Cricetulus griseus: one gene and its partners. The protein of the gene in region 5 interacts with the protein of the main gene of each other region in a biochemical or structural test. Links are inferred from orthologs where the notes say so. Each region holds a gene or a part of one and is shown on either strand. Other genes may lie near its edges.

What was found.
Region 1: of the proteins of Aurkb (region 5) and Cenpa, one has a biochemical effect on the other in vitro, tested with the Homo sapiens proteins (3 studies listed by BioGRID). The link is inferred for Cricetulus griseus from reciprocal best matches to the Homo sapiens genes AURKB and CENPA.
Region 2: of the proteins of Aurkb (region 5) and Racgap1, one has a biochemical effect on the other in vitro, tested with the Homo sapiens proteins (2 studies listed by BioGRID and IntAct). The link is inferred for Cricetulus griseus from reciprocal best matches to the Homo sapiens genes AURKB and RACGAP1.
Region 3: the proteins of Aurkb (region 5) and Cdca8 form a complex in vitro, tested with the Homo sapiens proteins (3 studies listed by BioGRID, with this or other methods). The link is inferred for Cricetulus griseus from reciprocal best matches to the Homo sapiens genes AURKB and CDCA8.
Region 4: the proteins of Aurkb (region 5) and Klhl9 form a complex in vitro, tested with the Homo sapiens proteins (2 studies listed by BioGRID and IntAct, with this or other methods). The link is inferred for Cricetulus griseus from reciprocal best matches to the Homo sapiens genes AURKB and KLHL9.
Region 6: of the proteins of Aurkb (region 5) and Klhl13, one has a biochemical effect on the other in vitro, tested with the Homo sapiens proteins (2 studies listed by BioGRID and IntAct, with this or other methods). The link is inferred for Cricetulus griseus from reciprocal best matches to the Homo sapiens genes AURKB and KLHL13.

What each region holds. Positions count from the first base shown.
Region 1 is NC_048600.1:13,682,825-13,686,958, forward strand, and holds the start of Cenpa (histone H3-like centromeric protein A), read right to left. Parts: upstream 2,806-4,134; 5' UTR 2,715-2,805; coding exon 2,630-2,714; intron 826-2,629; coding exon 734-825; intron 334-733; coding exon 256-333; intron 1-255. UniProt on the Homo sapiens protein: Histone H3-like nucleosomal protein that is specifically found in centromeric nucleosomes. Replaces conventional H3 in the nucleosome core of centromeric chromatin that serves as an assembly site for the inner kinetochore.
Region 2 is NC_048595.1:396,064,392-396,067,942, reverse strand, and holds part of Racgap1 (rac GTPase-activating protein 1), read left to right. Parts: intron 1-1,615; coding exon 1,616-1,711; intron 1,712-1,795; coding exon 1,796-1,994; intron 1,995-3,551.
Region 3 is NC_048595.1:28,118,750-28,122,795, reverse strand, and holds the start of Cdca8 (borealin), read right to left. Parts: upstream 2,814-4,046; 5' UTR 2,587-2,813; coding exon 2,493-2,586; intron 2,384-2,492; coding exon 2,255-2,383; intron 1-2,254.
Region 4 is NC_048595.1:59,402,318-59,406,447, reverse strand, and holds the start of Klhl9 (kelch-like protein 9), read left to right. Parts: upstream 1-1,295; 5' UTR 1,296-1,818; coding exon 1,819-3,675; 3' UTR 3,676-4,130.
Region 5 is NC_048600.1:82,920,705-82,925,022, reverse strand, and holds the start of Aurkb (aurora kinase B), read right to left. Parts: upstream 2,839-4,318; 5' UTR 2,526-2,838; coding exon 2,478-2,525; intron 1,739-2,477; exon of another isoform or gene 1,461-1,738; intron 888-1,460; coding exon 785-887; intron 678-784; coding exon 626-677; intron 475-625; coding exon 283-474; intron 121-282; coding exon of another isoform or gene 87-120; coding exon 1-86. UniProt on the Homo sapiens protein: Serine/threonine-protein kinase component of the chromosomal passenger complex (CPC), a complex that acts as a key regulator of mitosis.
Region 6 is NC_048604.1:31,135,866-31,138,724, reverse strand, and holds the end of Klhl13 (kelch-like protein 13), read right to left. Parts: intron 2,071-2,859; coding exon 1,583-2,070; 3' UTR 517-1,582; downstream 1-516. UniProt on the Homo sapiens protein: Substrate-specific adapter of a BCR (BTB-CUL3-RBX1) E3 ubiquitin-protein ligase complex required for mitotic progression and cytokinesis.

The DNA of each region.
Region 1 (4,134 bases), about 69 Mb from region 5:
GACACAAAGACTGACATGGATGAAGGACCTGGACTGTTTTTTCTTGGAGACATACTGACTCAAAGGACTGAAGTAAAGAATGGGGTGAACCCAATGGCCACCCATCAGACCCTCCCAAATTGTCAGGTATTGCCCATTGGCTACTCTTTTCAGGAGGCCAGGAACAGTCTGTGGTACCCACCCCTTATGCCGTCCTGTGGAATTCTGGGATGCTCTTCCCCCTTTTAGCCTTTACCAATACCTACTCCTTCTTACCTCTTGAAGGGCCAACAAGGCTTGGGCTTGCCAACATAGGTCCACACCTCGAGTGAATTTCCCACATATTTCTCTTACCTGTGGAGGAGCAGGGTGGGGATGAGCTGAGAATAGCAGAGTGATCAAAGAGTAGATGGTCTTTCTCCAAGTATCTCTAAGCATCCTCACTTCCACCATTATGTGCTGCCCTTGATCTAAGGGCCTGGCTCAGGGTAGGTGCGGACTCCTGGGAGCTTTAACTGGCATAGCTTATGGGTGGAGAGAAGAAAAGGCAATCTCCAGGGTATGGAGGGAAACTGGGTGAGAGGGCTCTACTACAGTAATGAGAAATCAGCAACAGAAAAACCGAGGATGTGCAGCGCCCCAGAGGGTTAGAAGCAACCTTTATCCACATCAGCAAGAAGCAGAAATCTCCCATATGTGGGAGGCTTAAAGCAAAGGTGGTCCAAGGCAGAGTGAGGGTGTCCCCAGAACTCACAACTCGGCTGAAAGGAAGCTTCCTTAGCAGGAGGTCGGTGCTCCTCTGCAGTTTCTTTATCTCCTTAAGCCACAGAAATTTCCGCCTCTTACCTGAGGAGAGTTAGGTCATAAGGGAAGTGCTGTGGAAATAAGTGGTACCTTGTGGCCCAGCTGAAGACAAACCTTGCCACTATACTCCACAGAGCAGGGATTCTCTTTTTTCTAGTTGGTGGAGTCAGCAAGAGCACACGAGTGCTTGCCACACACTGAGTGTGAAAAGACACACAGGTGCTCACCACAGGCTTACTAAGAGAGTGAGTGCAGTCTGGGCCTTTGGGTTGGAGTGTTAACTCCATGAAGCCTTTCTCAAATCCCAGTTCCTTCCTAACAGATCCTTCCTGTTGGGTCCCATGCATTTCATATCTTTCCCATTCCCACCTAGATGTTCCAAGTTCGTTATTCAGTTTTTAGGTCCTTTCTTTCTTTGTAACAGCTGGAGGGAATGAGATACTACCTAGTACGGATCTCTTATCTTGCTTGTCTTGGGCCCAGGGAAGTAAAGATAGTTGGCTAGTGCTCATTAGAGGCCAAGTTGGGACCTTAGAAGTGGCATAATTCAGTGCTAATGCTAGGAATGCGGGCTGTGAAGCCACAGCCTTTGGTAAAAATTCAAATTCTCACTAGAAAATAAAAATACCAAACTTAAAAAAAACCCTCTGCTCTAGAGATGCAGCTCTGCAGTAAAGTGCTTGATCAACATGCACAAAGCCACAGGTTCAAACCCCTGAAACACAAAGAAAAAATACATCTAACCCTAATGTTGAAGAGGAAACTTAACTGATATTAGACTATTTAAGATGAATAATATAAAAATTTACTTTTAAAAACCTAAAAGAGCCAGGTGGTGGTGGCGCACGCCTTTAGTCCCAGCACTCGGGAGGCAGAGACAGGAGGATCTCTGTGAGTTCGAGGCCAGCCTGGTCTCCAGAGTGAGTTCCTGGACAGCCAGGGCTACACAGAGAAACCCGCCTTCAAAACAAAACAAAACATAAAACAACTAAAAGCACCAGAGGCAAACATATCTAGTAGAAAACAAGAATGCCAAATGAATTAAGGCCTAGCTAGAGATGGTTCAGTGGTCAGAGTGTGTATCATTGTTAAGGAGGAGTCAAGTTTGGCTCCTAGCGCCTACATCAGGTGGCTCATACTGCCTATACTTTAGGTCCAGGGGGCACTAATGACTTGGGCACCTGTACTACGGTGCATATACATATGATTAGAAATAAAAATTGGAGCTGGAGAGATGGCTCATTGGTTAAGAGTATTTGTTGTTCTTGCAGAGGTTCTAGGTTTGGTGTGCGTGCACACGTGTACACACACATAAACACACAAATGCAGGCAAACATGAACACATGTAAATAATAATGTGCTGGTCTGAAAAAATGGCCCCACAGGCCCATAGGGAGTGGCACTAGTTGGACATGTGGCGTTGTTGGACGAGGCATGCCACTAGGGGTGGGCTTTGAGGTCTCAGAAGCTCCAGTGTGTCATCATTACTTCCTGCTGCCTCCAGATCCAGATCCAGAACTCTCAGCTTCCCCCAGCATCACGTCTGCCCCATGCCTCCAGCCCAAATGGCCGTGGACAGAACTCTCAACTGTGAGTCAAGGGAGGACAGAAGAAACGCCAGTGATTTGAACTAGGCTGGGGAGACCAAGTATGCTAGTAAAATAATAAAATGTTGGGCTTGGAAAGCTTGCTCAACAGTTAAACAGCGCTTGTCGCTCTTCCAGAAGGCCTGAGCTGTGTTCTCAGCACCCTTACCCTTAGGCCTGTGGTTTCCCGGGTTCGGAACCCTCTTCAAGCCGGCCGTCCCCAGCACCCTCAGAGCTGAGGTTCCGGCAGGCCCGCTTACCTGGACGGGAGCTGCGTCGCGAGGGTCCGGGGACCGGGCTGGAGGGGCGCCTTCTCGGGGTCCTCGGCTTGCGGCGCGGGCCCATGGTTGGCCGCGAGTGGGTCCAAGCTCCGCCGCCTCCGCTAAGCCCGACGAGAGAGCGAGGTGACTGAGCGTGTCAGAGCCGCAGGAGCTCGGCCGCCATCAGTTTGAAAAAAACCCACCCCGCCTACCGCATTTTTTAAATCCCCAATTCCGTGACTCTCAGTGGCTGGCTCTGGAACGCCACCGTGGAGCGACAGCCACAAGGACCAGTGAGAATGAGGGTCTGGCCGCAGAGTCAGCCAATGGGCACTTGGAGAAGCTAAGGAAGGCGGGGCTTTCTCACATTTTGCGTGTTGATCTTTGACTGACCCGACTAGCTTGCTCTGGTGCCCTCTGGGCAAAAGGACAACTCAGTCTGATGTAGGTGGTGAGTTTTTAGAATTCATTCCCTCAAACGTTTTACGCTTTCGTATCAACGTTGGTGTGGCTTTGAGAATGGAGAAACAGACCGCCCAAAAATGTGACACTCCACACAGCTCCCGGGAGGGACCCTCCCGAGAGCAACCAGCAAATAGGATTCAGAGGCCAGGTTAACACCGTGAACTTTTCTAGGGTCGAGGGGACAGCCAGGACGATGGGATCTGAGGACAAGGTCCAGGCAGGGCACGAGCCAGCACTGTTCCTGGACTATACTATTGAACACCATGACAGAACTGTCAGAGAAAAAAAAAAAAAACAGCTTTTCCCTTTCTCCTGGGAGTAATATGAATTCGGGTCATATCTCTGCAATTAGAATAAAGAGGATTTCAATTTCGTCATTTTGCTTTTTTGAGTTTTCTAAATGCTCTACCATGAACGTGTACTCTAATCAAGAATCTCCTTATATAATCAGTGGTTTCACAGAACCCTTCTGCAACACTGGGGTGGGTGGTGTAAAATGGTGCAGCTGCTATGGAAATGTGTCATGGCTGGAACCTGAAATGTCCTACAGAAGCTTGGTCCCAAGTGCAGCAGTGCTCAGGGGTGGGGGCTTTGGGAGATGGGGCCATAGGTGCCCTGACTTCATCTGTGGATCTTAATTCCAGCATTTGGGAGGTAGAGGCAAGAGGTTTGCTCTAAGTTCAGGGCAGCCTAGCTTAGTGAGTTCTAGGCTAGTCATCCTATGTAGTAAAATTTGTCTCAAACAAACAAAAAACCAAACAAACAAAGGCTGACATAGCTCATGTTAAAGCACTTGCCTCATATACAAGGTTCTGTGTTCAATCCTCAGTATGCTACCTACAAACACATAATTTAAACATAGAATTACTATATGATGCTGGGCGGTGGTGGCATACACCTTTAGTCCCAGCACTCAGGAGGCAGAGACAGGCGGATGTCTGTGAATTTGAGACCAGCCTGGTCTACTAGAGCTAGTTCCAGGACAGACTCCAAAGCCACAGAGAAACCCTGTCTTGAAAAACAAACAAACAAACAAACAA
Region 2 (3,551 bases), on a different chromosome or scaffold from region 5:
AGTAAATTTTGTTCTTAACCAGGGGACTACAGAAATGACTCATCAGTTAAGAGCATAGGCTGCTCTTCCAGAGGACTCAGATTGGATTCTTGGCACTCACATGGCAGCTCAGAATTGTCTGTAATTCTAGTTCCAGGGGAATCTAATTCCCTCTTCTGGCTTCTGAGGGCACTGCATGCACATGGCGCTCATACATACACCCAGGCCAAATATTCGTGCACATAGCATAAATCTAAAAGGTATTTGAAGAAATTTACATCAGTGTACTTTTGATTTTTCTAGACAGGGTTTCTCTGTGTAAACCTGATTGTCCTGGAACTCTCTATAGACCAAACTGTCCTGGAACTCAGAGATCCACCTGCCTTTCCTGGATTACAGTCTGTGCCATCACACCCAGCCCATAGCTGAAATCTCTTCATTGCTTACTTTCTCTTGTCTTTGAGTAAAAGAAAAGGAAGTACTTAACAGTTGGTGGCATCAGCTGAGTGTTGGTGGCTCACGCCTTTGATCCCAGTACTGGGAGGCAGAGGTAAGGGGATCTCTGTGAATTGAAGGCCAGCCTGGTCTACAGAGCAAGTTCCAGGCCAGGCTCCAAAGCAATACAGAGAAGCCCTGTCTCAAAAAAAAAAAAAAAAAAAAAAAGTTGGTGGCATCATTACTTGCTCATGAAAAAGTGTTGTTTGTATAAATCAGTAGCATCGTGAAGGTAAGAAAAGTGATCAAGACTCTTGTTTTTGTTTTGAGACAGGATAGGATCTCTTGCAGCCAAGGATAGCCTCAAACTTACTATGTAGTTTAAGATAACCTTGAAACTCTAGTCCTGCTCCTATCTCCAGAGTGCTGGGATAACCGACATGAACCATCATGTATAGTGTATGAATTGGTAGGGACCAAAACCAAGGCCTCACATGCGCTAGGTATGCATTCTACTAACTGGGCCATACTCCATCCCTACAAGACTTTTAAAAAATTTTATTATTATTATTTAAACTGTGTATGGGTTGGGGTATGTATACATGAGTTCAGGTACCTCTGGAGGCCAGAGATGTCAGATTCCCCTGTTGTGTGCCACTTGGTTTGGGGGTACTGGGAAGTGAACTCAGGCCCTCTGAAAGATGTTTCATGTTCTTACCTGCTAAGCTATCTCTCAGCCCCTGTGGTGGTTTGAAAGAAAATGACCCTTAAAGTGAGTGGCACTATTAGGAGGTATGGCCTTGTTGGAGGAAGTATGTTACTGTGGAGGCAGGCTTTGAGGTCTCATATACGCTCAAGCCACACCCAGTGATACAGACCACTTCCTGCTGTCTATATATCAAGATGTAGCCAGCACCATGTCTGCTTGCACGCCACCAAGCTCCCTGCCATGATGTTAATGGACTGAACCTCTGAAGCTGTAAGCTACCACATCAGTTAAATGGTTTCCTTTATAAGAGTTGCTGTGGTCATGGTGTCTCTTCACAGCAATAATAGAAACCTTCACTGAGACAGCCCCCAAGACTGTTTTAATGTGTACTTTGAGAATATAAATTCAAAACCTGATATAATATCTTTGTGTTTAACGGCAGCTCTCTCTCTTGGTCTCAGTGATGTAAGAAATAAAGACCCTTTTTTCCAGGGAATGTTGGCAGATTTTGTGTCCCAGACTTCTCCAATGATTCCTGCTATTGTTGTCAGCTGTGTGAATGAGATAGAGCAGCGAGGCCTGACTGAGGTGAGAGTGGACTCCACACAGGGTGAGCTTGTTGTTTGTGTTAGTAATTTGGGAGTTCCTGACTAAGTGTTGTCTTTATAATAGGCAGGCTTATACAGGATCTCAGGCTGTGACCGAACAGTAAAAGAGCTGAAAGAGAGATTCCTCAAAGTGAAAACTGTACCCCTCCTCAGCAGAGTGGATGACATCCATGCCATCTGTAGCCTCCTGAAAGACTTTCTTCGGAACCTCAAAGAACCCCTTCTGACCTTTTGGCTAAGCAAAGCCTTTATGGAGGCCGCAGGTAAGGGCAGAGCTTGGTGCTTGACTGTGATTCCAGGACTGAATTTTGCTCATACATTTTACTATCCCTGCTGCCCAGTACAGTGCCTGGGCAGTAGGTACTCATATAATTGGTGGGTGAATAACTACTATATACGTCATCCTGCCTTTTTCTTCTTTAGCTATATAGAGGGTCTAAGAGATGGCTAAGTGGCTGAGCACTGGCTGCTCTTCTAGAGAACCTGGGTTTGATTCCCAGCGTCTGCATGATGGTTGGGTGGTGCCACCTGAAACTCCAGTCCAGGAAATCTGATGTCCTCTTCTGGCCTCTTTGGGTACTACATGCAATGTAGCTCAGACATTAAAAAAAAAATGTTTCATAATAAAAAAAATGTACGTAAAATGAATAGGATTTTATAGGGTTTGTTGTTGCTGTTTGCTTTTTGGTCAAGTCTTATGTTGTCCTTTTGAGATCAGAACCATCTTTGATTCCTTTCTTTTCCACCACAAATCTTGTCAGTAGACTTGTAAATACACCTTAAATTTGATATTTATCACAAGTCATGGTATTAACTGTCCCTGTCTACTAATTGTAGAGCTGGCATGTCCCTTTCACATGGTAATCTCTATGCAGGAGTTGGAGTAGTCCTTTTACACTCCAAATTCATGATGTCCTTTTTGTCATCTATCCATTATTTTTAGTTTATGTTATCATAGTGTTTTTGAGACAGTGTTTCTCTGTGTAGCCCTGTCTGTCCTGGAATGCACTCTGTAGATCAGGCTGGCCTCCCGAGTGCTGGGATTACAGGCGTGTGTCACCACCGCCCGGCTTTCCCATCAGTTTTAGACTGAATTCATCCCTAACATGGTTGAAAAGACCCTGTGTGACTTGGCGCTTGGTTATGCCTCCAACGCCATTTTGCTTTGTACCTTCCTTCCTCTTTTTGAATCCTGGAGTCAGTTTCTTTTTATTTTGTTGTGTGTGTGTGTGTGTGTGTGTGTGTGTGTGTGTGTGTGTGTGTGTGTTTTTGCCTGCATATATGTCTGTACCACATGCACATAGTGCATACATAGGCCTGAAGAGGGTGTCGGATCCCCTGGAACTGGAGTGGCAAAACAATTGTAAGTCACTGTGTGGGACTTGGGAATTGAACCCTGGTCCTCTGCAAGAGCAGCCAGTGCTCAGCCACTGAGCCATCTCTCTGGCCCTAAGTCTTGGATTTCTTAGCATATAATCACCTCAAGTCCTTCCTACTTGTTAGTCTTAGCACCAACTTTTTCTCCCTAGATCTGTTTGTAGTTTGCTTTACTCCCACCACCCCCAGCTTCTCTTCATATATTTTGTCCTCAGAAACACTTTTCCTAAACCAGGTTTGCTGACATAGTAATCCCAGCATGTGGGAGGTGAGGCGATATTGATACCAGCTTTGGCTGCATGGTGAGCTTGAGACTAGACTAGGCTACCTGAGAACCAGTTTCAAAGACTAAACAAAAGCTGCCCTGGGCTGGCGAGATGTCTTGGAGGTTAAGAGCACTGACTGCTCTTCCAGAGGTCCTGAGAGGTGGCAGCTTCCATTGC
Region 3 (4,046 bases), on a different chromosome or scaffold from region 5:
CTTTCCCAGTACTATCAATTACCTTTCTCAAACTAGATCAATGAAACCTTGGGTCTAGCACTGCTTTTTACATTCTTCCAGTTTGACCCCTTCCTGTTGTAGCTAGTTATTCTACCTTCTATGTCCTCAAAGTTCTTGTTCCCCAAAAATGCAACTGTCCCATGACTCAGTGCTTTGATATTAAGTATTTCTCCTGCTTAGTACAATTCTCTGCACCCTACAAATTTCTACTCATTCTTTAAAATTCAGCTCAAACGCCACACTTTAACTGTTAATCTTTCTATTATAATAGACTGCTTCAAACTGTAAATACATATATACATAGTATAGCAAATTACTCAAAATCTACTAAAGCTATTTAGGTGTCTACTCCTGCTTGAACTGAATTCTAGAGGTAATATCCCTTGGTCCTGGTAAAAACCTAGCATAGTAAATGTGCAAACTAAGAAAAAGGACTTTGTTAGATCTAGATGTAGAATGAGAACTTAGGTTCCCTCCTTTTGTTAGAAATCCTCATGGAATCCTGTGTACACAGTTAAGATCTTGGGCCTTATAAACAGAATGCCTGGGGCTCAAATATGAGATCCCGAGTAATGTATCTCTCTCTGTCATAATCTTATCATTCTAAAATTGGTCCACTGTCTGGCATGGAAGCACAAACCTTTAATCCCAGAACTCGGGAGGCAGAGGCAGGTGGATCTCAAGACACTTTATCTAAGTAGAGGTCCAGGACAGCCAGGGCCACAAAGGAACCCTGTCTCAAGAACAAAAACAAAACTGGCCTACTATTATGATTAAGTTGTACTTACTGGCTATTACTTCCATCTTTTTTGTAGTATTTAAAATTCTAATTCTGCCAGGTTGTGGTGGTGCTTGCCTTTAATCCCAGCATTCGGGAGGCAGAGGCAAGCAGATCTCTTTGTGTTCAAGGCCAGCCTGGTCTACAGAGTGAGTTCTGTAGTTCTGGGACAGGCTTCAAATCTACACAGAGAAACTCTGTTCTCAAAGACCAAGAAAAAAAATTCTACTGCTATATGATTTTTTTCCCAAGACAGGGTTTCTCTGTGTAGACTTGGCTGTCCTGGAGCTTAATTTAGACCAGGTGTGTGCCACTATCACTCAGCTTCTATGTGAATTTTTAAACGACCCTTCTCCAATAACCTATAAGCTTCTAGTGTGGGAACAATATATGTTTTATCCCTTACTGCATCTTTAGTACCTAGCATAGGGACTGACACTCAACTTTGTAGAAATGAACACATGGATTAATGAGGCATGTCAGAAGAATCACAGCTCTTGTGAGCAAAACATGTACTTCCACCCAGGAAGACACACACCCTGGTAGCTATCAATGATGAGGAAAATGGAGAAAGCACCAGCCACCTAGTGGATGGGAGAGGAAGAAGCCCCCATGTTGTACCGGATGTCTAACAAGTGGTGGGAAATGGGTTGGGATTTTCCTCTGGTCAGAAAAATACTCCTGTCTTTGCAGTTCACATGTGACTTGCTTGCTTTTAAATTGGCAATTTCCATAAGAAAGAGCTATTTGAGGATACTGTTCTACTTGAGCTATGACAAAGCCCAATCATTTTATTCTTAATTTATTCATTTTCAAAAGTTTGAGTATACACAAGTATTTCCTGATGTGTGAAAACTGTGTGAAATTGACATTTCAGTGTGCCCAGAAATAAATTTCATCAGTTCCAGAAATCTAAAACATTTGTTACCTAAGCGTTTGCCTACCCCATGGGCTGGATGACAGTCCCAGGTAAGACTGGGCAGTAGGGTGGATTCAGACCACAGACCCCTCTCTTCCTCCTCTAAATAGGGATATACCTCCCCAACTCTCTCCTTGGACAGAGACATGACAAGAAAGAGAGAGTGATGTGCTGTGGCCTTGCAATTCTGTCCCTCCTCTGTAAAGCTGCAGGACAACTTTATATTCATTCCTAGCTCCTGTGTCCTTGCTTATTAGCACATAGGCTAGCATAACTCACCTCTCTCTCTCTCTCTCTCTCTCTCTCTCTCTCTCTCTCTCTCTCTCTCTCTCTCTCTCTCTCTGTCCTACTAACGCTCATCTGAGGGGTAATTCATGCCAGCTTCCTTTCTACGGGCCTGTCATTCTTCCACAAGTTACGACAAGCGGCAATTCCCCACGAGTGGTTATGCTAGTCCTCATTAAGATCGAGTCCCTACAAAAGCTTTTAAGATAAGCACTAGTCGGCTACCAGGAAAAACCGCTAGCGGCTCTTACCAAAGTAGTCAAGCCAATTCATCTCGCGCAGCGCCTTGGGGAGCCGAAGGATCTCGATGTTGTATAGGTTCTCCACCTCCTTGAGGAGGTTCTGTCTGTCGGACTCGATTTGATTGATTCGAATTTGCACTGCGGAGAGATCAAAGCCGACGGATCCAGTGTCAACAAGAGGGCGAAGCCATCGCACCCGCGCCCCAACCCGCCCGAAATTCTCGAAGGCCGCGGATCCGCCCCTTACCCTCGCGGTCGAAGTCCTTAAGGAAGGAGGCGAGCTTGCGGCTCCGCAGCGCGTTAGCTCTGGCGCCCCGGCTGCTGCCCTTCTTGGGAGCCATGGCGCCGGGGTGAAGGCTGCGTCGAACGAAGGACCGAGCAGCCGGCTCAGCGGCTGAGACGGGGAAAGAGGACGTGAGCGCTCACGGAGCAGCGGGGGTTCAGTCGTTGGAGTCTGGTACCCAGAAGTCTGCGGACGTGTCCCTGCAGGCGCCGAAACACAGACCCAGGAAACCTCGCAGCTCCAGCTGAGGGAGAGGTTGCGCCTCCGCTAACCGCCACCCAATTCAAACTCAACGGATACAGGTTGGCCAATAACAAGTCGCCGTCTTGGGACGGTTCTCTCACCGCCCAATCACAACAAAGCTTCTTCATCCCGCAACCAATCTCTATAGAGGACTTCAATGCCCAGAGGACATTGCGGCCTACGCTTTCTTTTCGCGACTCCAGAGTCGCGCTAAGTGGAACTAGACTGTAGGGTTTGCTTTTGAGCATGTGCAGAGAGTGCCAAGCGCAGTGTGGTTCTTGGTGTCCACTTAGCTTTGGCTACCCAGGATTTGAGTTTTCCTGCGGATTTAGGGACACGGCTGGCAGTCTCAGAGGAGATAAGACCCTGGCTCCAGAAGCAGGAGTTCGAGGAGAGACAGGCCCCAGGGACTCGCAGTCTAAAGCGGAAGGTTGCCCTGTCCTTTGGAAGCCTCTTTTGAAGACTTCTAGGACCCCCTTCCTGAGGTGAGAAGCAAGGGTCCTTCTGCAGAGAGAGCTGGTAAGAGGATCGCCAGAGCCTCCACTCTTGAAAGTCAGCGGTGACAAGACAGAGCCACAGCTTCACCCTGCCACCCTCAGCAGCGTGAGGCGTTCCCCTAAGCTTTTAGAGACTGCAGCCCAGTTGGTGGCTTTGAAGCTGCAAAGAATTCAGGGCTAGCCAGTTTAAGAAGCAGAGTTATGGGTGGGAGGGGGAGCTGTGGTTGGAATGTAAAATGAAATTAAAAAGTTAAAAACATGGAAAAAAGCAAAATCACACACACACACACACACACACACACACACACACACACGAGAGTAGGAATGTAACACTGTCTGGCCTGGAACTCTCTATGTAGACCAGGTTGCCTCTATCTCAGAGACCTGTCTGTCTCTTGACTCCTCAGTGCTGGAATAAAGGTGTATGCTACCACGCCCAGCCTAAAGTTACTATTAATTTTTTGTTTGTATTTTGAGACAAGGTTTCTCTGTATTGTTTTGGAGCCTGTCCTGGAACTCGCTCTGGAGACCAGACTGGCCTCGAACTCACAGAGATCGGCCTGCCTCTGTACCCTGAGTGCTGGGATTAAAGGCGTGTGCCACCAACGCCCTGCTTTTTTTTAAAAGTTATTTTTAATACAGGCTTAAGGACGAGGCTTAAGAGAGAGGCACCTAGACAGAAAATAAAAGACACTTGCAGGCTACTCAAAAAATTAAGTATGAAATAGCGAAGTGGGTGTGGGCTTCTCAGGGAGAGGCTGCAATTGATTGTCTTAAC
Region 4 (4,130 bases), on a different chromosome or scaffold from region 5:
TTTGTTCTTCCTTTTCCATATAGGAAGTAATCCCTTGGATGTCCCTTTTCACAGATAGCCCACACTTTACAGCAAGTCAGGGAATGCTCACCCCAACTCTTATACCAAATAGCCTCCCAGAATGTTCCTGGACTGGCAAGAATTTCTCAAGATCAGTCTCATTTAAACAGGGCTCTTGTATCAAATAGGTTGGATTGCTGCTAGAGCACCTTGGAAAAACAATGCTGGTCTACTAGCCTCTACAACATGTTTTAAGTAAGCTCTCTATATACCGATTTTGGAAAATCTTGAACAACAACAAAAAAAGAGAAAGATATAACAGGATATATGCTATTTAGTAAAAAAAGAAAAAAACCAAAACAGGAAGTAGAAGAACATAAGCATATTTTTAGTTTGCATACAAGAAAATGCTAGAAAGATTTAAAGACAGCGATAACGTCAAATTCAGAGAATAGAGAGTTATGGCAAATTATACACTTATTGCAAATCACAATTAAAATTTGCAATTAGAGAACTGTGTTTTAATAAATAAAAAAAGTCATAAAAGGGAAATCCAAGAGAAGGGAAATGCAAACCCAAGCAGTGCTGGTAACATTATTTTGGAAACATTGAGTTGAATATTCTAATAAATATTATCATTATTCAATAGAGAATAAGGTTTTGTGTGCAAATTCTCTAAGCTTATTAATTTTCCATAAGACAATGAAGGACAAGGTTTATACACTCAGGAGAAAAACAGTGGGCAAAGTAAACTATAACATGCTTAATTATTGGGAAATTGTGCAACCATTTAAAAAGTATTTAGGAAACAAAACCATGAATAAAGTCTTTATGATGGCTTTCCCTCTCCCTCCAAGTCTTCAAGAGGTATCATTAGGACCAAACTTTAGTAACAAGTTAAATGCCACGTGTTTTAAATGCTTAAAAACACTTACAACTCCTATTTTAAGTGAGGCATTTATTGAGTGTGATGTAAATTGTAAAACTTTTTTTTTTAATTAAATGATACAATGACTTATTCTGCCAGGTTTCTCCTCAGTTTTTAACAAAGGCTGCGTTTCGTGGCTGTTCTGGCACAAGCGAAGAAGCGTAAATCTTAGAAAGAATGCGCTCTTGGAAAGTGGTAAGAAAACCTCACGCAGCAAGCATGCATGCACGCCTGCGCACTCCTGCAAGCTTGCAAGAAGGGGGCCCCCTCCAGGGCCTCGCTGGGGGAGCGCAACCCCGCCCCCAGCCCGCCCGCGCCCTTCCCCCATCCGCCCGCCCCCTTGCCAGGCCAGCCGCGCAGGCGCAGTAGCTGTGCAGCCGCTCCTAACCCGGGGGATCCTGGGATTCGGCCTTTCCGGAAGGACGAGCTAGGTGTTCGGTCTAGGCCGCCGTTCCAGCCCTAAACCAGAGTTCCAGGTCCTGCTCCCAGCCGAGCCGGTGGCCGAGGAGACGCTACGCGGACCTCCGAGGGCGTAGCGGCGACTGGCGGAGGTGCGGAGCCCGGCGGGCGGTGGCGGCGGTGCGCAGGCCGTGACGGCCCCTCCCCCGCCCCGAGAGCAGCTGCAGAGGACGACAGCGCGGGCCCGCCGCGGTGAAGCGGTCGCTGAACTGCCTCAGGTTATGACTCACCGGCTTTACTGTCACATTTGAGGTCCGCCGGCCGCGTTGCGTGATCCTGCCGCAGGGCGGGCGTGGGTGTGCGCGGAGCGGAGCGGAGCGGGGCTGCGGCGACTGATCGCCCTTGGTTCGTTCTGCGGCCCTGAGTTTGCTCAGAGCGTTCTCTTTGTAACGTCTGCGGCCTGTGGCTCGCTGCGAACGCAGGGCTCTCACATGAAGGTGTCTCTCGGTACCGGCGGCGAGATGGGCGTCTCTGCCCACCTGCAGCCCTGCAAGGCAGGAACGACGCGGTTTTTTACCAGCAATACCCACAGCTCGGTGGTGTTGCAAGGCTTTGATCAGCTCAGACTCGAGGGCCTGCTTTGTGACGTGACTCTGGTACCTGGTGATGGCGATGAGATCTTCCCGGTTCATAGAGCCATGATGGCGTCTGCTAGCGATTATTTCAAGGCCATGTTCACAGGCGGAATGAAAGAACAAGATTTAATGTGCATTAAACTTCATGGGGTGAACAAAGTTGGCCTGAAGAAAATCATTGATTTTATTTATACCGCAAAATTGTCCCTTAACATGGACAATCTTCAGGACACCCTTGAAGCTGCCAGCTTTCTACAAATCTTACCAGTTTTGGACTTTTGTAAAGTATTTCTTATATCAGGCGTCTCTTTAGATAACTGTGTTGAGGTCGGACGGATTGCTAACACCTACAATCTTATAGAAGTGGATAAATATGTAAATAATTTCATCCTGAAGAACTTTCCTGCATTGCTGAGTACTGGGGAGTTCCTAAAACTCCCCTTTGAACGGCTTGCCTTTGTGCTTTCCAGCAATAGTCTCAAGCACTGTTCCGAACTTGAACTTTTCAAGGCAGCCTGCCGCTGGTTGAGGCTGGAAGACCCTCGGATGGACTATGCTGCAAAATTAATGAAGAATATTCGATTTCCACTGATGACACCACAGGACCTCATCAACTATGTGCAGACAGTAGATTTCATGAGAACAGACAATACCTGTGTGAATTTACTTTTGGAAGCAAGCAATTACCAAATGATGCCATATATGCAGCCAGTGATGCAGTCAGACAGAACTGCCATTCGCTCTGATTCCACTCACCTTGTTACCTTAGGAGGCGTTCTGAGGCAGCAGCTAGTGGTCAGTAAAGAATTGAGGATGTACGATGAAAGGGCACAGGAGTGGAAGTCCTTAGCCCCCATGGATGCTCCTCGATACCAGCATGGCATTGCTGTTATTGGAAATTTCCTTTATGTAGTTGGTGGTCAGAGTAATTATGATACAAAAGGAAAAACTGCTGTTGATACAGTTTTCAGATTTGACCCTCGGTATAATAAATGGATGCAGGTGGCATCATTAAATGAAAAGCGCACATTCTTTCACCTGAGTGCCCTTAAAGGACATTTGTATGCAGTTGGTGGGCGCAGTGCAGCTGGTGAACTGGCCACAGTAGAATGTTACAACCCAAGAATGAACGAATGGAGCTATGTTGCGAAAATGAGTGAACCCCACTATGGTCATGCCGGAACAGTGTATGGGGGTCTAATGTATATTTCAGGAGGAATTACTCATGACACTTTCCAAAATGAGCTCATGTGTTTTGACCCAGATACAGACAAATGGACACAGAAGGCTCCTATGACTACAGTCCGAGGCCTGCACTGCATGTGTACAGTTGGAGACAAGCTGTATGTGATTGGTGGCAACCACTTCAGAGGAACAAGTGATTATGATGATGTTCTCAGCTGCGAATATTATTCACCAACTCTTGACCAGTGGACTCCAATTGCTGCTATGCTGAGAGGTCAGAGTGATGTTGGAGTTGCTGTTTTTGAAAACAAAATCTATGTTGTTGGTGGATATTCTTGGAATAACCGTTGCATGGTAGAAATTGTCCAGAAGTACGACCCGGAAAAAGATGAGTGGCATAAAGTTTTTGATCTTCCAGAGTCACTTGGCGGCATTCGGGCTTGTACTCTCACAGTTTTTCCGCCTGAAGAAAACCCTGGGTCACCTTCAAGAGAATCGCCTCTTTCAGCACCTTCAGATCATTCTTAGATACAAGGTGTAATACCTTTTCAGTGTATTCATGGATGATCTCCCTTCCCCTTCAATTGTCTCTTATTACTCTCTACAGTTAATAGACAAAAAGGTAACTTAGGGTTTTTTGTTTTGCTTAATATGTTATTAAATGGCTACCAAGTACATTCTGAAAAAAATGTGTTTTAACACATATTTAGCTGTTTTAACAAGTGAAAGATATATGAAAAATTAGATATCTTTTGTGGTGTTACATATGTCAAATTGTAGGTGATCATAGTGAATGTGTAATTGTCTATTATGCTACAAAGTTGAAAGTTTTGATTTGACTAAAACAGTAAAATGAAGGTCCCCCTGTTATAAACTAAAATAATAAAAGATTGCCAAGGTACAGCTACCTCCCTCTTGGATAGTTTTTGACAATTTGTTAACTAGGCTATGTGATTACTCTTAGAATATATGAAGTTTCTTAG
Region 5 (4,318 bases):
GTTCCCCCCTCGGGGCATATTCCAGTATCAAGTAGATCCTACGCCGGTCATAGAAGTAGTTGTAGAGCCGAAGAATGTTGGGATGTCTGGGGCAAAGAGAAAGGAAGCTTCGGCTTGCATCTAGGAGACAGGACAGATGGCAAAGACCTAGATCAGGGTGGAAGTATAAGGAAGAGCTGGGTAGGTGGTCCAGATGGTGTAAGACAGGGCTGGGGATGCAGAAATAGGAATGTGGGGTGATGAGGTTGGCAGAGGGGCCAGGGCCAGGGGTGAGTAGCATACTGCAGGTGTGCCTGGATTTCGATCTCTCGGCGCAGCTGGTGCTCCACTCCCTCCTTCTCAATCTGAGACTTGAAGAGGATCTTGAGTGCCACGATGAAATGACTTTTTTTCTCCCGAGCCAAGTACACATTTCCAAATTTGCCTTTGCCCAGAGGACGCCCAATCTCAAAGTCGTCAATAGTGAGGGACCGCCTGATTAATAAAGTGGGGGGAAGGCAGCTAGCTCAGGGCTGGCTGGCTCAGATTCTAAGGTGTTTGATTTCTCTCTATCTGTGTTCCCTTTAATTTCCCCATTTCAGCCTCACCACAGTTTAAGTTCCCCGACTTACTCTGGGGTACTTACAAGGCATTGGAGCCCCGACTGACATTTTCAGCCAACTTCTGGCCAGGGGCAGCTAAGGAGAGAGCAGGCATGTTGAGTTCCTCTTTGACATTCTCGCCTTATACCCTCTCTTGGATTCTGGTCCCCTTGGGCCAGTCCTCTCCCCATTGTCCCAGGTACCTGTGGACTGGCCATTGGACCGGTTCATGAGGGCAAGTGCAGATGTCACAGCAGACTCCTTCTGCAGGACTCTCTGGGGCAGGGTGTTCAGGCCTGAATGAGACTGAGGAAAAAAGGGAAGCTCTGAGTGTGTTCTTGTCCCTGTGGTCTAGCTGGAATGTGCTATAAGCACCGTTTCAGCTACTTGTTAAAGAGTCCATCCATCCACTCACAGTTCAAACAATAGTGATACACCATGGTTTGACTACCTAGCCCCAGAGGTCTGCTCATTGCTCCAGAAGAAATGGGTTATTAAGAAACAACCTGAGGCTGGGCGTTGGTGGCGCATGCCTTTAATCCCAGCACTCAGGAGGCAGAGGCAGGCGGATCGCTGTGAGTTCAAGGCCAGCCTGAACTCCAGAGCGAGTGCCAGGATAGGCTCCAAAGCTACACAGAGAAACCCTGTCTCCTGGCACACATCAGTAACCCCAGCACTTAGGAGGTGGAGGCCCTTGATCAGGAGTTCAAGACAATCCTCAACAGTCAGTTCAAGGCCAGTGTGAGCTAAATAAGGCCTTGTTTTAACATCACCCTCATCCTCCCCACAAAACATCAACAAACAAACAAAGTAAAGGAATGAATGAAGAAAGCAATCGAAGACAAGGGAGAAGATGCCCTCTGACACCTAACAATTCACCTGGCCCTGGCCCACACCACCTGCTCAAGCACAGCACCGTCCAATCTGGATAGCTCTACACCACATTCATCCAGGCTCACATAAGAGCTCGAGCTCATGAAGTTGCCACACCAGAGGGATGCTGAGGGATATTCAAGGCCTCAAGCCACTTCTTCACTTTCAGACTTCGCTGAGTAATAGATCATTCCATTTGATAGTGACCACGGTGAGTGTAACAGTGGTGTCACACTCAGACTCCACTCTTCTCGGTTTTACTCGGTGCTTCATGCGGGAAGAATCTGGGACAAGGAAGCAGATGGGCTGTCCAGGATGCCCAGGTCCCACCAACGGGGACAGACTGAAGAGCTCTTCATTTTGGTGTAGGGCTCAGGGTCCCATTAGCTTGCCAAGCTCATTACAGATGTGCTGTATTACAGGTTTCTCATTTCTTCAGCCAAGAGAAGGCCCCAGGGTGCCTACAAACCTCCCCCAGTGATATCAGTATAGATTGGCCCATGCGTTCACACACACACACACACACACACACACACAATTTCAAATCTATTTGGATCCTTAGCTACAACCACTCATTAATATAAATTCTGGGGCTGAAGCGTAGCTCAATGGTACATCAAAACTGGAGGTCCTGGGTTTGCTATCCAGCCTCACAAATAAAATTTAGACCTTCCTGGACCTGTTAAACAGTAACTTTGTATTCTACAGTCTAATTTCTGTGTAGTTCATTTTCTCAGACTAAAGGGTGGGATTCACCGCCCGAAAGCACAATACTGCTGCTTGCTCAGTCCCAGTTATTATTTGCATGTGACAAGCAGACTCAGCTCTGCAGAAGCCCTCAGATTCAGGTTGACAACATCTGGATAGGATACGGCTGCAAGTGATCAGACTGGGCTCTGCATGCAAACTCTTGGGGAACACGTCGGAAGCGCTTAGAGGACAGCCATCGGCAGGGTGCTCCATCTGCCTCCGAGGACTTGCCTTCCGAGGGAGGTGGGGCGAGGAATGTGGCCGGGACCTTACCTTCTGCGAGCCGTAGGGCCACGGGTAGGTGTTCTCCTTCTGGGCCATCTCAAGGAAAAGCCGGAGGAGAGCTGGGCAGAGAGGGAAGCAGCGGTGAGAGGGAGAAGATGCAGAGATCTGCGGGGAGCGCAAGCGGGGGCGGGCGGAAGGAAACCAGCGCGCAGGCCGAGGTCGGGGCGCACCTGTGCGCCCCTCTCCGCACCCCTCCCTCTAGGCGGCCGGGCTGGCACGTGGCCCGCCCAACGGAGCCGGACGCCGTGGACCACCCGCGCCCTCCGGAGCCCACGGCGCAGCGGCTCTCCTCTCAGCTCGGCGCCCGCACGTTGGAGAAGCCGCCTGCCCTGCGGCTCCGCGACTCCGACACTTTCAAATCTCCCGCTCTGAGCCCATTGGCTGAGCCGCCACCCAAGCCCGCTTTCATTGGCTACGTTTCTTGTGACGTAACTGGTTGAGACGCAAAACAAGAAGCGGATTGAGATGCTCCTTTCTCTAGGCTGAGGCTGCTTTCCCAAGATATCACACTTTTGTATAATAATAATATTAATAATAATAATAATAATAATAATAATAATAATAATAATAATAAATAATATAAACAATAACAAAAATTTAAACTGGGCAGTGGTGGCGCACACCTTTAATCCCAGCACTCAGGAGGCAGAGGCAGGTGGATCCCTGAGTGCGGCGAGGCCAGCCTGGTCTACACAGCGAGTTCTTGAACCATCAGGGCTACACAGACAAAAACCCTGTCATGGGGAGGGAGCGGAGTAGAGGAGGATTTAGACAGGGCGTAGAACCCTGTCTCAAAAACAACACACTAAGATTAATTGTTACCTATCTCTTCTCCCCTCTCTCCCTCTCCCTCTCTGTGTATGGGCGTGTGTAAAACTTTTTTTCTGCCAGATGGAGAGACAATTATGCCCACGCCTTTGGTTAAACTGTTTTACCTGGAGAGGCAGAGACTCGTAGATGTCTGTGAGTTCGAGGCCAGCCTGGTTTCAGGACAGCCAGGACTATTACAGAGAAAGCCTGTCTCGGAAAAAAATGAACAAACAGCAAAAACTATCTATTTCGCAGGAGAATTTAAATGCTGCCCTTAATGATTGTACAATCCTCTTTAAGTATCCTTGGGGTATCATCTTTAGAACGCCCTACGTTACCTAATCCAGAGTGCTCAGGTTCCTTATATAAACAGGCATACTATTGTATAGGACATAGATTTGCATTGAGTTTGTAACTCTCTCAGGCTCTTTGGCTAATCTCTAGATCACCTAGCTACCTAATATTATGGAAATACTGTGAAACAGTAGTAAAGCTCTCTGTGAGGGAGTATGATGCAGGGAGGAAAAGTCAATACAGATGTAATCCATTAGATGAGACAGATGGATTTGAAGGTTTGACAGACAGACAGACAAGCAATTTGCTGAATCCATGGTTGTAGAATATGTATCTGTGTTTCTGGATTCCCTATTCTCCTTGTCTGATTAGTATTTGGATTTTATTTGAGACAGGTCTCTCTGTTAAGCTCAGGTTGGCCTCCAATTCACTATATAGCCCAGGCTTGCCTTGAAATTCTGATCCTCTCATCACAGCTCCCAAAGTACTTGGATTACAAGCACACAGTATCAGGCCCAGCTTGCTTATCCCTTTTCTATTTCTTCTTAAATGTCCTTTGAGTTCCTAGAAAGAGGTTTCCAGTGGTGGAACTTTCTGTGCTGGGTCCCTGATAGCTGTGGGATTTGAACACAGTTCAAATCAAAATCCACTCTTCTGTAAATGCTTTGTTCTTAAAAATCCTTTAATGTTTCTTATTCTAACATTAGGCTTGTAATTCTACCACT
Region 6 (2,859 bases), on a different chromosome or scaffold from region 5:
TTCTGTGACTGGGTCTGTCATTTTTACATTTCCCTCACCACACCTACTCATGGTTTCTGGACCAAGCTTTGCAGGTTATAGCAAAGAGGGAAGAGAAGGTAAAAGAAAGGGAAGGGGCATGTAACTGCTTCTGCAGTTTACACAAGCATGGCACTGGGCTGCATAATAGCCAGTTAGAATCTTTCACCAACTAATTCCTCAAAGGCAACAAGCAACATCTGCACAGTGAGGTGAGGGCTGGCTCAAGTCTTTGCTCTTTGAATAAAAGTCGCACATACTTGTTCAATCTCCTTAGTCTCACCCCTCAAAAGATTTATTTCCCAAGACAGGGTTTCTCTGTGTAACAGCCCTGGCTGTCCTGAAACTCTGTAGACTGGGCTGGCCTTGAACTCAAAGAGATCCTCCTGCCTCTGCCTCCCAAGTTCTGGGATTATAGGCATGCACCACCACCACCCAGCTCCCTCAATAAACGGAAGTCAAATCAGAGAATAATGGAGAGCACAGAGCAGAGCGACATTGATTTTTATTGAATAAAGAAGGGAAAACATGAACATCATAGAGCAAAGGCAGCTCTCTGGTGAAGCTGCTACACTTTGTGCTAAATAATCTCATGAACCAAGAGTATACAGAATACATAGAACAAGTAAGTTACCTCAACAGCAAAGGAGAAGGAAGAGAATACAGATTTTTTTTAAAGATAAAATTTGGTCAAATGACAAATTTAGTTGCTCAAAATTTCTAGCCCTTATCCACCTAAATTCAGTATGATTCTACATATATGTGTTCGGTGTTGTCCATACTGAATCCCCATTTTTCACGGAAGCTGCTTTTTAGAAGATTCAATTTTTTTAATTTCACATTTATTTGATATAATACTCAATTTTTAAAAATCTGTGTTTGATATAAGTATGTGTGCATATTTATACACACTACAAAACCCCAAATTAATTCTTATAAGTAGAGGGTTCATGCTTCCCTCCCCACATACTAATGTTGTGAATTTCAGTTATTTCTCCTGTGTGTCTAAGAAACTTGGTGTGTTCTCAATGCACCCACACGGTCAGGTGGGTTGACAGATGTGTCAAAAATACTTCATGAAAAGAGGGAGGTATCTCATGCGAGTTGGCAACCTTTTGTGTATTGTTTCTTGCTGGAGCAGGCTGCCTCCCTTTGATATCTTACAGTTAAAGATGAGAGGAAAACTTCTTTACTCTGAAGCTTAGTGAACACAGTTGTACATTTACTACAATCCACCTTCAACTTGGCTTACAATGTAAGATGACAAATACCTTACAACCAGTACACAGCATGAAAAAAGTACTGAAGAAACATTTTATAGACAATACTTTTTTTTCTTGTTAAACATCAGCTTCTATGGGATATATTTCCAGGATGGTTTGTTACCACTTTATAAACATTCTAGGCCATACAAACATCACAAGGAACATCAATGTCAATTTTTCCAATATCTGTATCAATTACTGGAGGCTAATTCTAACAGATATACTACTTAAGGGAGGAAAAGAAGATAATCATGACACATTTCAAAGAGAGCAATATAGCATTTTAATTGTAAGGATGATCAGGGTGCAGAAAGAGGGGACTCTCTAGAAGGTGATGGTGTGCTGCTTTCAGGCGGAAAAACTGTAAGTGTACAAGCGCGAATGCCACCAAGGGACTCAGGAAGATCGAAAACCTTATGCCACTCATCTTTCTCTGGATCATATTTCTGCACTATCTCAACCATACAGCGATTATTCCATGAATATCCACCAACCACATAGATCTTATTCTCAAAGACAGCGACCCCAACATCACTCTGCCCTCTTAACATGGCAGCGATTGGGGTCCACTGGTCATGGATAGGCGAATAGTATTCACAGCTCAGGACATCATCATAATCACTGGTTCCCCGGAAATGGTTGCCTCCAATGACATACAGCCTGTCGCCCACTGTACACATGCAGTGTAGGCCTCGGACAGTGGTCATCGGTGCCTTCTGGGTCCATTTGTCAGTATCAGGGTCAAAGCACATGAGCTCCTTTTGGAAGGTGTCATGGGTAATGCCTCCTAGAGAAGGAAAATAATAGGCATGAGGCAAAGAGATCATAACAATGCAAAAGTAAGGCTCTCTCATAGATAATTAACTTTTAGTTATATTTTATGGCATATTGTAGCTTACAAATAGTAAATTTATAAGTATCATCACTCTATAATTATTTTAACAAAAAATAAAGAAAATACCGTGTTCAACATTTCAAGACCAATGAAAAAGGTCTTATATTATTACAGTAACTTTCTCAAATGGAGAGTGATCATACTTAAGAAGTTTCAATGAATGGAAATATATTTGGGCCACTATTATAGTTGAGTCATCAGTAAATGTGATCTACAAAGCATCAGTCTGTTGTGACATTTTAGTGGGTAGGCTATGGGTGATGAGCACTGGACTAGAGCACTTTAAATTCCAGGTTCCCATGAACTCCTTTTCCAAATCAGAATACCCATTCTGGCTAACATATTAGGATTATGAATACAAAGCAAAATTTTTGTTAAAAAGGGTTGAATGTCTCATGCCAGTAACATACCAACCTGGAAGATTATGCAAAATTCTTGGGTTTGGAGAGTTTGGAATGAACAGGAAGAAGTGACATCTGCTATCTGCTTTGCAAAGCTAAAGAATTGAAATTCTGACCATTATATATGTAACAGTTGATTGTTGGTGTATTTGGTCTTTATAACCTACAAATTGATTAAGACTAAGAAACATAATCCAACCTATGTAATGAAAGTATCAATCTTTACCTTCGGCAAACAAGGAGCAGACCTAAGCTAATCTTTAGCTGTATCATTTGAAGA